Linked DNA regions of Callithrix jacchus. The protein of the gene in region 1 interacts with the protein of each later gene in a pairwise test. Links are inferred from orthologs where the notes say so. Each region holds a gene or a part of one and is shown on either strand. Other genes may lie near its edges. The genes, in order: MS4A12, PLLP and MALL.

What was found.
Region 2: the proteins of MS4A12 (region 1) and PLLP interact in binary tests that used the Homo sapiens proteins (3 or more experiments, as listed by UniProt). The two-hybrid records come from large-scale screens. The link is inferred for Callithrix jacchus from reciprocal best matches to the Homo sapiens genes MS4A12 and PLLP.
Region 3: the proteins of MS4A12 (region 1) and MALL interact in binary tests that used the Homo sapiens proteins (3 or more experiments, as listed by UniProt). The two-hybrid records come from large-scale screens. The link is inferred for Callithrix jacchus from reciprocal best matches to the Homo sapiens genes MS4A12 and MALL.

The regions. Positions count from the first base shown.
Region 1 is NC_133511.1:117,601,409-117,605,622, forward strand, and holds the start of MS4A12 (membrane-spanning 4-domains subfamily A member 12), read left to right. Parts: upstream 1-1,387; 5' UTR 1,388-1,562; coding exon 1,563-1,835; intron 1,836-4,214. UniProt on the Homo sapiens protein: May be involved in signal transduction as a component of a multimeric receptor complex.
Region 2 is NC_133521.1:15,138,218-15,141,246, forward strand, and holds the end of PLLP (plasmolipin), read right to left. Parts: intron 1,476-3,029; coding exon 1,359-1,475; 3' UTR 520-1,358; downstream 1-519. UniProt on the Homo sapiens protein: Main component of the myelin sheath that plays an important role in myelin membrane biogenesis and myelination. Plays an essential function in apical endocytosis. Regulates epithelial development through the regulation of apical endocytosis.
Region 3 is NC_133515.1:21,243,503-21,247,810, reverse strand, and holds the start of MALL (MAL-like protein), read right to left. Parts: upstream 2,889-4,308; 5' UTR 2,862-2,888; coding exon 2,757-2,861; intron 1-2,756.

The DNA.
Region 1 (4,214 bases):
CTCTAGACAGCTCACCTGAGGCTTGATAAAGAGAAGCCTTACTAGCTTAATTACTCAATCCATCACTAAGAAGTTAATCTGGTTTATAAACCCCTCTTCTTTCATGGCATCAGAAGACAGAAGTTTTGTTGTTGGGTAGTTGCAGGAGCAGACTCAATACCCTGCCACCAAGGCTGGCCTGGAAAACAAGCTGCAAGTGTCCAGAGTGATGCTGTATGGATGACTGGGGGCGGGGGGAGAGATTCTGAGTCAACAGCCAAGAATCCCATCCTGGAGTCCTAACTCTGTCATACATTTTCTATGTAACTTTGAGCATGCCACTTAGCTTGATTCAGATTCAGTGTCTCATCTATAAATGAAGGGGAATGAGACAGGATAAATGGACAGAGTATTTCCTTCCCTAAAACTGCTGGTTTCTATGACCACAGGGCCTGAATATGTCCCTGTTAGATACCAGTGATGCATTATACCAATAGATTATTCATGGTATTCATACTTCATACCAAGAATGAGATGTTCATTACTCTAACTTTCTTGACATTCATTAAGTACAAGAAAATTGTTTGAGAAGATGTCAAGAAAAAAAAGAAATCTAAGGCTGAAGACAAAATATTTAAGTGTCATAATTTTTTTTCAAAGATTAATACTCATTATTGTCCATATCTAGTTGTCCTGGCTTATTGCCAACAAAATTTCCCTTGGCCACATGGGGCCTGAGATGCTGTAAACTTTCAGAAGGACAGAAATAAATAAAAAATAAATAAGAGTATTTTTCCTAACAAACAGGAGAATCAAATTAAGCGGGCACATATGAACTATCTAGTTTCCCAATTACTGACAAATAATGTTAACCTTGGACTGCCCTCCTTGCCATCCAAGTACTGTATTATTTGGCCTCTGTATTAATTTTCTATTTGTTGATATAACAAACTACCACAAACACAGTGGCTTAAAACAATACAATTTTTTTCTCTGACAGTTCTGTAGGTCAGAAGCCCAACACCAGCTCACTATGACCTGGAGACTCTAAGGCAGAATCTGTTTTCCTTGTTTCATCCAGCTTCTAGAGGCGACCCATATTCCTTGGCTCATGGATGCCTTCCTCCATCTTCACAGTCAGCAGCATACCATCTCTCTGATGAGAGATGGTTTCAGGATGAAACTGTTCCACATCAGATCATCAGGCATTAGATTTTCATAAGGAGCATGCAACCTGGATCCCCAGCATGTGCTCTTCACAGTAGGGTTCATGCTCCTGTGAGAATCCAGTGCCATGCTGATCTGACAGGAGGCAGGGCTCAGGCAGTCATGTTTGTCGGCTGCTGACTTTGCATGGCGTGGCCAGGTTTCCAACAGGTTATGGACAGGTACCAGTCCTTGGCCTAGGGGTTGGGGATTTTTGAGAACCATGTTTCTATCAGTTGTTATGGCCCATTATCTGCTCACTTGCTCTCTCCATTTGCATGGATAATTGACATTTGACATTTGGGAAGATTTTCTTTAGTTTCTTTTCTGGATAAATATATCATTTTGGTATATTTTGTGACACTTAGAATATAAGAATGTCATCCAAGCCAATAAGCCATGCTGGAGTACATAAAACCACACCCAACCCTTACCCACCAAGCAGCTTTCTGGCTCCTGGATCTCAACAGCCTCTGGGTTCAATCAACTCAGGAAACCAAGCCCAGGGTGCTCAGGATGCTCAGCCCCACTCTATCAGATTTCCAGAAACCTTTGCTGGCAGTCAACCGGGTCAAGGAAATTCACAAATGATAAATCCAAGTCTGGGAATGGCAGTAATAAACTTCAAAGAAGAAGCAAAGGCACTAGGGGTAAGTCTCTTTACTACCAGAATTTTAATTTCACATTTGCAAGCTCTTCTTATAAGTTATAGGAGAAAATATATTATCCAATTGTTAAACAGTTTTGAATGTTATTCTAAAACTATCTCTTTTGGATAGAAATATTTAGTCTGCCTATAGACTTTCCCTTGAGTTCATTTTATTTCAGATCAAGCACAAATCTAACAGGAGACAGAGGAGCCTCCTAGCTGGAGGATTTAGTAATATTGACATGATAGAAACACCACTGCATCTAGCTTGATTTCATTTCTTCAAAGGACTTTTTGGACAATCTCAATCCCATCTCTAGATTTGTTACAAGCCTGTTATTTGCCTGAAGGTGAATTTACATAAAAATGAACACTGATGGCTGCCCCTAAAAAAGGAAACTGCAAATGGGCAGTCTGGGAAAGGCTGAGTGTGAAAGAACTGGAAGATGTTCCACCTGCTGTGCCTTTCTCAACAATACTCTTAGAGATACTATGGCTTAACTGTCACCTTACTTCTACAAAGGAGACTCTGAACTGACTATGTTGCTTCTGTAGGCATCGTAAAAACAAAAATGCCCTATTTGTAAGAAAATTCCACCTGCCGAGGTAGAATTGTTAGTCCCTTTGCTGTGCTTTCCAAATAGCACAATTCCACCAAATTATATTAAGTCTCTCCCAGTGCATAGCTCCAACTTCTCTGCTGGAGCATTCTGTAAATACATGCTCATTATATGCTAAAAATTCTTCTAGCCATCTTACTACCTATTTCAAGTTTGGATGTTTTAGGGAAGTAAAAATGAGCATAAGTTCTCCTGCAGCAGCCTATTTACCAAGCTGTGGAGGTGGCCCTTCTGATCCTCCTCCTCCCAGATAGAGAAAATCTCCTGCTCCTAATAAGCCAGTGAGACGCACTAACACCCCTCCCCATACAGCCAGCTCCACACAGGTGCCTGGAATATCACTGAGCACAAAGCAGGTGCAATCTCTGCCCTTATGGCCTAGTGTGGGAAATCAGACTGTACACATAATAAAGAAGTAAAGTACATAGTGTTTTAGAAGGTGCCAAATGATACAGAGAAAATGAAGAAGTGTAAAAGGGCTAAGAAGTACCAGGCAGTGAGGAGGAAGCAATTTCAAAGTAGTGAGGACAGGCTTTCCTTAGAACATGACATTTGAGCCAAAACCTGAAGTTAGGAGTGAGCCCTGCAGATATCAGGGAAGGAGAAAACACCCAATGTAAAAGTCTTTAGATGAAAATGTGTGTGATGTATTTAAAGAACAGGGAGGAGGCTAATAAAATAGAACAGAATGAGCGAGGGAGGGAGCAGCTGTCAAGAGGGCAGAGGACTGGCAGAGGCCACACCCTGTGAGGCCTGCAGAGCAGAAGGCTTTGGCTTTGACTGAGTGAATGAGGAGCCACTGAAGCATGCTGCCTCGTACCAGAAATATTTTAAAGTACTTCAAAATACTTTAAAAGAATGCGAGGTTTTGCTTTCAAAAGCTCCAGTTGACAAAGCTACTTCCTCTCTCCGAAGATTGTAATTTCTATGCCATCAGCAGGCCCCAGGCATCATGACAGTGCCAGGGCCACAGGTAGCAGCACATGGCACATCCGTACCAGTCAACTCAGACCTTAAAGTGCTTCTGTGGCCCAAAATGCAAACAAATTGAATGTCCAAATGTTTAAGTCTGTCCCATAGGCAATGTTGATCTAGTAAATGGTACCACCAGGGCTGTGGGAGGAGAAATGAGGGCCAGTGCAAATTCAGATCTAACTGACCCTCATCAAGATGACAGCAAGGACAAGGATGGAAAGTTGTGGCCAGGTGGCTGAATTGCTGCTCTATAGAATTGACTATAAATTAAATACAACAGAATTAAATATAAAGTCTAAGGCAGGAGTTATTTAAGTGAGATTAGCTCAAGGAGACCCATCATCTTTCCAAAGCTATATGCAAAAGTATGGTACGTGTGTGTATGAATGTGCAAGAATAATTGTTAAGGGAGAAAGGTTCATATTTTTATCAAAGTCTCAAGAAACTTTTAGCATTGTTTATGAAACTGGGTTTTTTTCTCATTTTAATTTATTTGCATTCAGAAGCTATTTATTGAAGAAATAAATACAGCAGTCTTTGTATTTACAGTTTTCCTGGATAGATAAGATGTAAACATGGGGAAAAATAAGTTACACATCTGCAATCAACTTTTGGATCAACCTAGAAATGGTTTTTCCCCAGAAATCTATCCTTATTTACAATGAAGGGAGGTGCAATAAGAAGTTTAAAGAGCTGAAAGATGTATACCTCACTTTTAGTAATATATGGTCGGTAAGAAGAACGATTGGTAAGAAACTTACTGCATAACTGCACCTTATTAAAAA
Region 2 (3,029 bases), on another chromosome or scaffold:
ATAACAAAAAGGGACTAGAGGGTGTCTAGAAACGCTTTTACCTCATTGTTCAGAGAAGGCTGCTCTGTGGTGTTGGAAAAATAAGCTCGGGAGTACTCAGCTGCTTTCCTCTGCTGTCTCTACCAGCTCTGCACATGCAGCATGGCCGGCCACCTTGATATATGACCTCTGAGACTCACAGACTTTCGAGGTAGGTGATACTGTTGAAATCTTTCATTCAGTAAGATCACCTAACCTGCCCAAAGCAAGGGTGGCTAAGTTATTGCCAAACTGAGACACTTGTGAGAATAAAAGGCCATGCTATTCTACTTATGCAAGCACAAACAGCATAAACCAGGACTGCTCCAGATACAGCAAGCAGGAAGTGTAGGTAGCCTCCCTCCGGGCAAAGAGTTGGCAGGTGGTGCTGAAGGACTCCAGATCGTGAACTGCCCTACGGCAGGCATCTTACACAGTCAAGCTCAGGCCTCCTGGAGGTTATAAGCACCTGCAAAATGATTCCCCAACATCTGGTCCAAGTAATTTCTCTCATATTTATTTTTATAAAAACAAAACAAAAAAACAAAGTCACCACCAACCACATGACAATTCGCCAGGCAAGGCCTTGCTTCCCTCCCTCCTTCACGTCCCGTGTGCCTGGGGTCAGGGAGGCAGGGTCAGGGAGGCAGTTGGCACTGATGTTAGCTTCACCCAAAGGGAGTATTAAAGAGAGAGGCTTGGGAAAGGGAAGAAAACCTGGCCAGGCTTCTCAGCATTGAGATGTCACTGAAAACTGATTTGCTTTCAATAACTGGTGTGTCTGAAATGCAGGGAGGGAAGACCATGCTGTCAACAATCATAACCCACTTTGTACAGGTTGGCTCCAGGGAGCGGTGGGTCGGAACTGCATTTAAAGGAAGGAGAATGGTTTCATGAGCTTGCTCAGCTCTCCCGGAACAAAGACTAAGGTGCTACATGTTGCCTGTTAGGCTTACACTACAGCAGGTCTGGGGCTACAGGTCTAGAGTCCTTGTTAGTGCATTTAGGGCTGGTGAGAAGGGTGGGCCCCAGCCTGGGACGCTGAAGTCCTCCAAAGACAAGGCAGAGACACAGCCTCAGATTCCCCCGTCACCTTCCACTGAATAAGGGGGATGGAAAGGAGGTCTCCGTGGTTGGCCTCCCACAAGCCCAGATGCCTGCCAACCTGGGCCTGCTTCCTTAGCACTGTGAGAGCTTCTGTCTGATGGGCAGAGAGGAGCAAGTGTAGTCCCTGCGGGGCTGACTCTGTGCAGGGCTCCCCAGCTTCAGGCTTGCAAGGTTACCCTGCTCTGTGACCCAGCAGCGGCTTCAGCCCCAGAGGGGGCCATGGCACAGGTTGTTTAGGCATGGCCACCAGCCATCTGACTGGTAGCTGCATTGCTGCCTACTCCTCGCCAGGCCTGGTAGCTGAAGAAGGCGCTCACTCCATAGGCAATCATCACCAAACTCGCAAAGAACTGAAAGAGAGGTGAGAAGGGCTTAAGGAGCAAGAGGGTGACAGTGACACAAGTCCCAAACAGATCTCAGGCCCAGACAGGAAGAGATGTGGCAGCCGCACCATCTCACACTTAGCCAGACGCATTTCACAGCTGTTTATCGTGGGGCTGATGAGCACCAGCATCCAGGGATGCCAACATTACCTTCTAAGCACGGTGAATAGCTAAGGACCACAGGCAGGCCTTCAGATTGTGAGGAGGGCAATGAAGGAGAAGGTAAGAGTGACAGAGGGGACACCTAGCAAGGATTTAATTCTTTTTTTTTTTTTTTTTTTTGAGACAGAGTCTCACTCTGTCACCAGGCTGGAGTGCAGTGGCATCATCTTGGCTCACTGCAACCTCCATCTCCTGGGTTCAAGGGATTCTCCTGTCTCAGGCTCCCGAGTAGCTGGGACTATAGGCATGCGCCACCACACCCAGCTAATTTTTGTGTTTTTAGTAGAGACGGGGTTTCACAAGAATTTAGTTCTAAAAAGACAACATTCAAAGGCCACCCTAGGGATTTTCTAGAACCAGTTCACGCCTCTATACTCAAATCTGCAGCCACATTCGGAAGCTCCCCACTCTGTCCCCATCACCAAATTTGCTGATTTCAAAACTGCCCTTGTCAGGAAGAGTAAGGAACCCAAATGAGGGCTAGTTGAGGCCCTGCCCTCCCCTAGGCTGGGCCGTGGCTCCAGGCCTGGCGCCCAACCTCTCTTGAGTGGGAGCCTCCTGTCTATCAAAAGGGACTGGTAATCCCTTCCTCTCCCTCACTGGGGGTGTCACAGGATCCTGGGAGGAGACGGTGTGCAAGGCCTGGTGGAGTGAAGGGTGACAGGTGTGGAGGGGACTGCAGCCACTTCACTGGCCACCTAACGTGGGCCCAGAGTTTGGGTTTCATGGGACAGCCTATGAATTTCCCAGAATGGTTTAAACCAAAAGGCTTTTGCATGTGCACTTGTCAGAGGGAGAGCATGCAGTTTTTCACATTCTCCAAGGTGGCACATGACCCTAAGTCAGTGTGGCACAACTGATTCACAACAAGTTTTTATAGTTATCCCAGGCCAGGTGTGGTAGCTCACACCTGTAATCCCAGCACTTCAGGAGGCCAAGGCACATGGATCACCTAAGGTCAGGAGTTCGAGACCCGCTTGGCCAACATGGTGAAACCCCATCTCTACTAAAAATACAAAAATTAGCTTGGTATAGTGGCCTGCACCTGTAATCCCAGCTACTTGGGATGCTGGGGCAGGAGAATCGCTTGAACCCAAGAGGTGGAGGTTGCAGTGAGCCGAGGTTGCACCACTGCTCTTCAGCCTGGGCGATAGAGCGAGACTCCATCTCCCCTCTCCAAAACAAAAAACAAAATACAAAAAGATTAGCTGGCATGGCAGCACACACCTGTAGTCCCAGCTACTCAGGAGGCTGAGGCAGGAGAATCACTTGAACCCAAGAGGCAGAAGTTGCAGTGAGCTGAGATCACGTCACTGCACTCTAGCCTGGGCAACCGAGCAAGACTCCATCTCAAAAACA
Region 3 (4,308 bases), on another chromosome or scaffold:
TTAGGACACTGCAGATCACATTGGAATAACAGGTTTGTGAGGCTATAGTGTGCACCACATTAAAACAGCAAGAAAGCTATTCATATAGAAAGGCTGGAATGAGGGATTTTTCACTAAAGCAAATTAACCTCTTGTCAACTGCCAAAACAAAACCGAGCATGAGTGTTAGTATACTGAAGGCATGTCATACCAGTTTCTGAGCAGCATGCTAAAAGTTAGAACTTCTTCACTGGTGCATATCAATCACTAATAGTCACGTTTTTGCCCCTTCTTGCCAAATTTCAGGCATGTCTTATTTTAGATGGAGTATAGCTTTTATCTATTATTTCGTCTTGTAAAAACATGTGAAGACAATGTTCATTCTGTGCCAGAGGATGACCAGGAACCTTGTTTATAAACTGCTCCAGCCCTTGTTTTCTTTCCTCAATAAAATTGTCACCAAAGATTCTATCATCGCCTCTAAAAGGAAGCTGATGCAAAACGCTTTCCCAGGGAGCGGGGGAACTACATCTCCTCCTGCTACATTTTAAAGCATTTTTATAGTGTGTAGTTTGGCCTAATGAAGTATTTTTATGGCCAAAAAAAAAAAAGCGGCTGAAGGAGCTTGTGGTCCCCAAGCACGTGATGGACATGGTGGATGAGGAGCTCAGCAAGCGGGGCCTGCTGGAAGAACTGTAAGTTTTTCACCACTGAAGAATTTACTCATGTAACCAGATTCTACCTGTACCCCAATAGCTTATGGAAAAATACATTTTTGAAAAGCAAAACAACAACAAAAAAACTGATCAGTACTCTTCAGAAGTGTCAAGAGAAAGACCCAGATTGTCCCAGATTAAAGGAGATGAAAGAGATACGACAACTAAGTACAATGTGGGATCCTGGCCAGGATCCTGAACCAGTAAAAGGACATTAGTGGGGAAATCAGCAAAATTTGAGTAAGGTTTATAGAGTACTCTATAGCACAGTATCAGTGTTAGTTTCCTGATTTCAATAGCTGTATGGTGGAAGATGTGGGCATTAGGGGCAACTGAGGGAAGAGTACACAGAACTTTCTGTACTATCATTGCAGCCTGACTGTAAATCTAACGTTACTTAACAGTACAAATAAATGAAGAAAATTGGGCCAATGTCAATTTTGATTGTCACTGAGCCCTTCATCTCCCACAGCATGTAAGTCCCCAGAGTCCAACAAGAGTGTATGCTTTGCTCTTCCAGGAGTTGCACTGGCAGGAGCAGGGCAGGTGGGGCCACCATGACCTCTCACAGTTCTCATCCTGGGCGTTTTCCTGATTCCAGACACTCCATGCCTCTAGCCTCCTGCCAGGAATTCTCCCTTGGCCTCTAGGCCTTTCCCTCTCTTCCCCCCAGCCTAGAAATACCTGTTCTTTGAGGTCCAACTCTTGGTGGCAGGCCTGGACCCCTCCCTGGCCTGGAGGGTTCAGATCCCTCCTTGCTGGGGCCACTGTTCAACTGTGGGGAGGAGACACTCACGACTCCCTGGCAGACAGGAGACCACCAGGAGTCAGTGCCCTGTCACTGGGGGCCTGCAGGACTGACATAAACCACAGGCTCAATAAAAAGAGGTGGAGTCAACCAGTAACCCAGTTGCCCTTGCAGCTGCTCCAACGTGAGGGGCACACCTAGGGCCTGGCACATAGGACTCATCAGAGCACAGTAATGTCATCAGTCTGGCAGGATGCCCACTGTCTGGCTCTGCCAGGGGTGGCAACCCTGGCAGAAACCTGCCTCTTCGGTGGGCTTTCAGCCCGAGCCACCCAGATGCTAGGCCCACCCTGCCTGGTTCTCTCTGGTTGCCATCAATGGCCATGCTTTAGCCAGTTTGCCTAAAAGTGGCTCCATCAGGTCCCACTTTCCAGGCAGATGACAAGAATGAGAAGGACTAGTCACCTCCCGTCCAATTTAAAAGTAAATCCACTTTCTATCTTTTCCTCCCTGCTCAGGGACAGCACGTCAGGGACAGCATGTCAGGGCAGGTAAGAAAATATCACCTACAAGCTAGATATTTCAGAAGGTGCTGGAAAAACAAAACACACTCCTTTGTCCTGACTGGACCCCAGACTTGAGAGTGCTCCTCCATGAAGAGGGTGTGGTACCAACCGGTTCAGAGGGGACTTGTGCAGTGCAGAACACTGCATCCGCACAGCTCTGCAGATGGGAGCAGCCAGGCTCCCCAGGGATCAGGGACACAACTCAGCTGTGGGGCACCCCAGGGAGTAACACAGTGACAGGTTCTCATTTGCAACCAGGGTGCCTCACAGACTGTTTCATGTCAGATGTTGCCATAGCTACCCTGTGTGGGGACCCACAAAGTCAAAGTTCAAAGTCAGCGGACATGACAATAAAACACTTGAAGGCCTGCTCTTAGAGGGAAACAGTCTCCCACTGCAAACCAAAAACGCACACATAGTTGGAGAAAGGGACTCCACGTTATTAAAATTAATTTCCAACTTCTTCCTGGGAATCCTGGACGTTTTAGCAACGTTTCCCCAGGCCTCCACACCCAGGTGGGTTTTGTTTTGGAGGAAGGAACCCCTGGTGGCCAAAGAGGGAGCACAGAGTGGGATCTGCTGCTTGAGTACAGCTGCATCCTGCTGTGCGTCCATGGGAGACCCTCAGCCACCGCAGCCTCTGCCCTGGGTCCCCCTTCTCTAGGGAGCTGACCGAGGTCGGGTCTGGGGCCTAGGCAGGTTTCACAGCCCCTCCCTCTCTGCAGGTGGCCGGCGGGCCGCACTCACCAGCTCGGGCAGGAAAAAGGCGAAGGGGATGGTGAGGAGCAGCGCGACCCCCGACGGCACGTCGGGCGGGGCGTAGCTGGTGACGGGCGGGTCGCGGGAGGCCATGCTGTCAGCCCCTGCTGGGCACTCTGCGGCAGCTCGCCCGCGCGCAACCCGTCAAATATCACCTCCTGCCGGACACACCCATCGGACGTCGCCAGGAAGGGGAAAAAAAAGTTCCAGTTGAGCAGGTCCTTCCACTCGCTGCAGCCAACAGATCCTCAGTGAGCCGCGCGCTGCGGCATCAGAGGGCTCTGCCTGGCAGGCTGGGGCACAGCGCTGGTGCAGAAGGCAAGCAGTGGGAGTCTTTCTTGACCTTTCCAACTAAGGAATCTTTGACTCCTGGAGCGTGTTATTCCAGGGGATGCCAGCGACAGCCACTCCCCTGGGCCCAGAGTGCAGGCTCAGGCTGCTTGGAGATGAGGGCTGTGTAATGAGGGCCAGCTTCGAGCCAAGCGATCTTCAGACAGCCCGGCTGCCCACCACGCCTGCGCGTGGCTGTTTGGCCCTTTTATAAGTGAGGACACTGAGAATCAGTGAGGTCAGGTCAAGGTCACAGAACTGCTCACTAACAATGCTGGGTTTTGCCCAGCTCCCTCCTTTTCCACTCTTGGGGGCAGCTCTCAGTCCTTAACCTCCCCTGGGAGGAGCAGCCCTCCCTTCCAGCACATGCCGCTGGGACTTGGTGTTTCCTTTCTCTGGATCCCTGTTCATGGCCCTCCACTCCTCTTTTCCTCAAGGGGCAGATGGAGGAAGGCCCCCCTCTCTGGGAGAGGACCACACCAGCAGGCACCCCAGATGGGCTGGGCTGGCTGGCTGCTACCCCTAGTGGTCACCCACCCTCCTTCCCTCCCTGGCCTTCCTCCCAGCTAGTGCCTCACCCCTAACTGGGCTTGGGACCAAGAAGTTTCTTCCTGACTCCTAGGCAAGTAGGGGAACTGGCTGCAGGGCGTGACCCAGAGGCAAGGAACTCATTTCACACCAAATACAAGTTCCAAAGGCCGAACCATTTTCCCCACCACCTTTGAGTTGGCGAACCTTCATTTTCCTGACCCACCCTGAAAGGCCTGGTGTCCCAGAGTCTACTCAGGATGCCTGGGGTTGGGTCCCTTCTTCCTGCCCCTCGCTGCTCTCTAGTGTGGAGAGGATGTGGGGAAGGTTGTGTGAGGGCTGCAGTAATTAGAAGACTCCACGTCCTGACTTCATTAGCAGAAATGGTGAATTTCAGGTCCTGCCCTCAGGGCCACAGGTGGGGAAACCAGCCAACTAGGCCTTTGCCTGGTCTGGGGAGGGCTAAGGGAGAGAGGAGTTTGGACAAATGAAGCCTAAAGCAAAGGCATTGCAGTGGATCTCAAACCAGGCGGATCAGCCCTTTTCCCAGGCTATGGAAACTAGGAAGGAAGGGAGACCGTAATCCCACCTGCCAACCCTAATCTCACCTACACCACCTTGTTTACAGGATGAATCCAAGCAAAGCGGGAGTTTCTTCATTTATCTCACATCTTGCCAACCC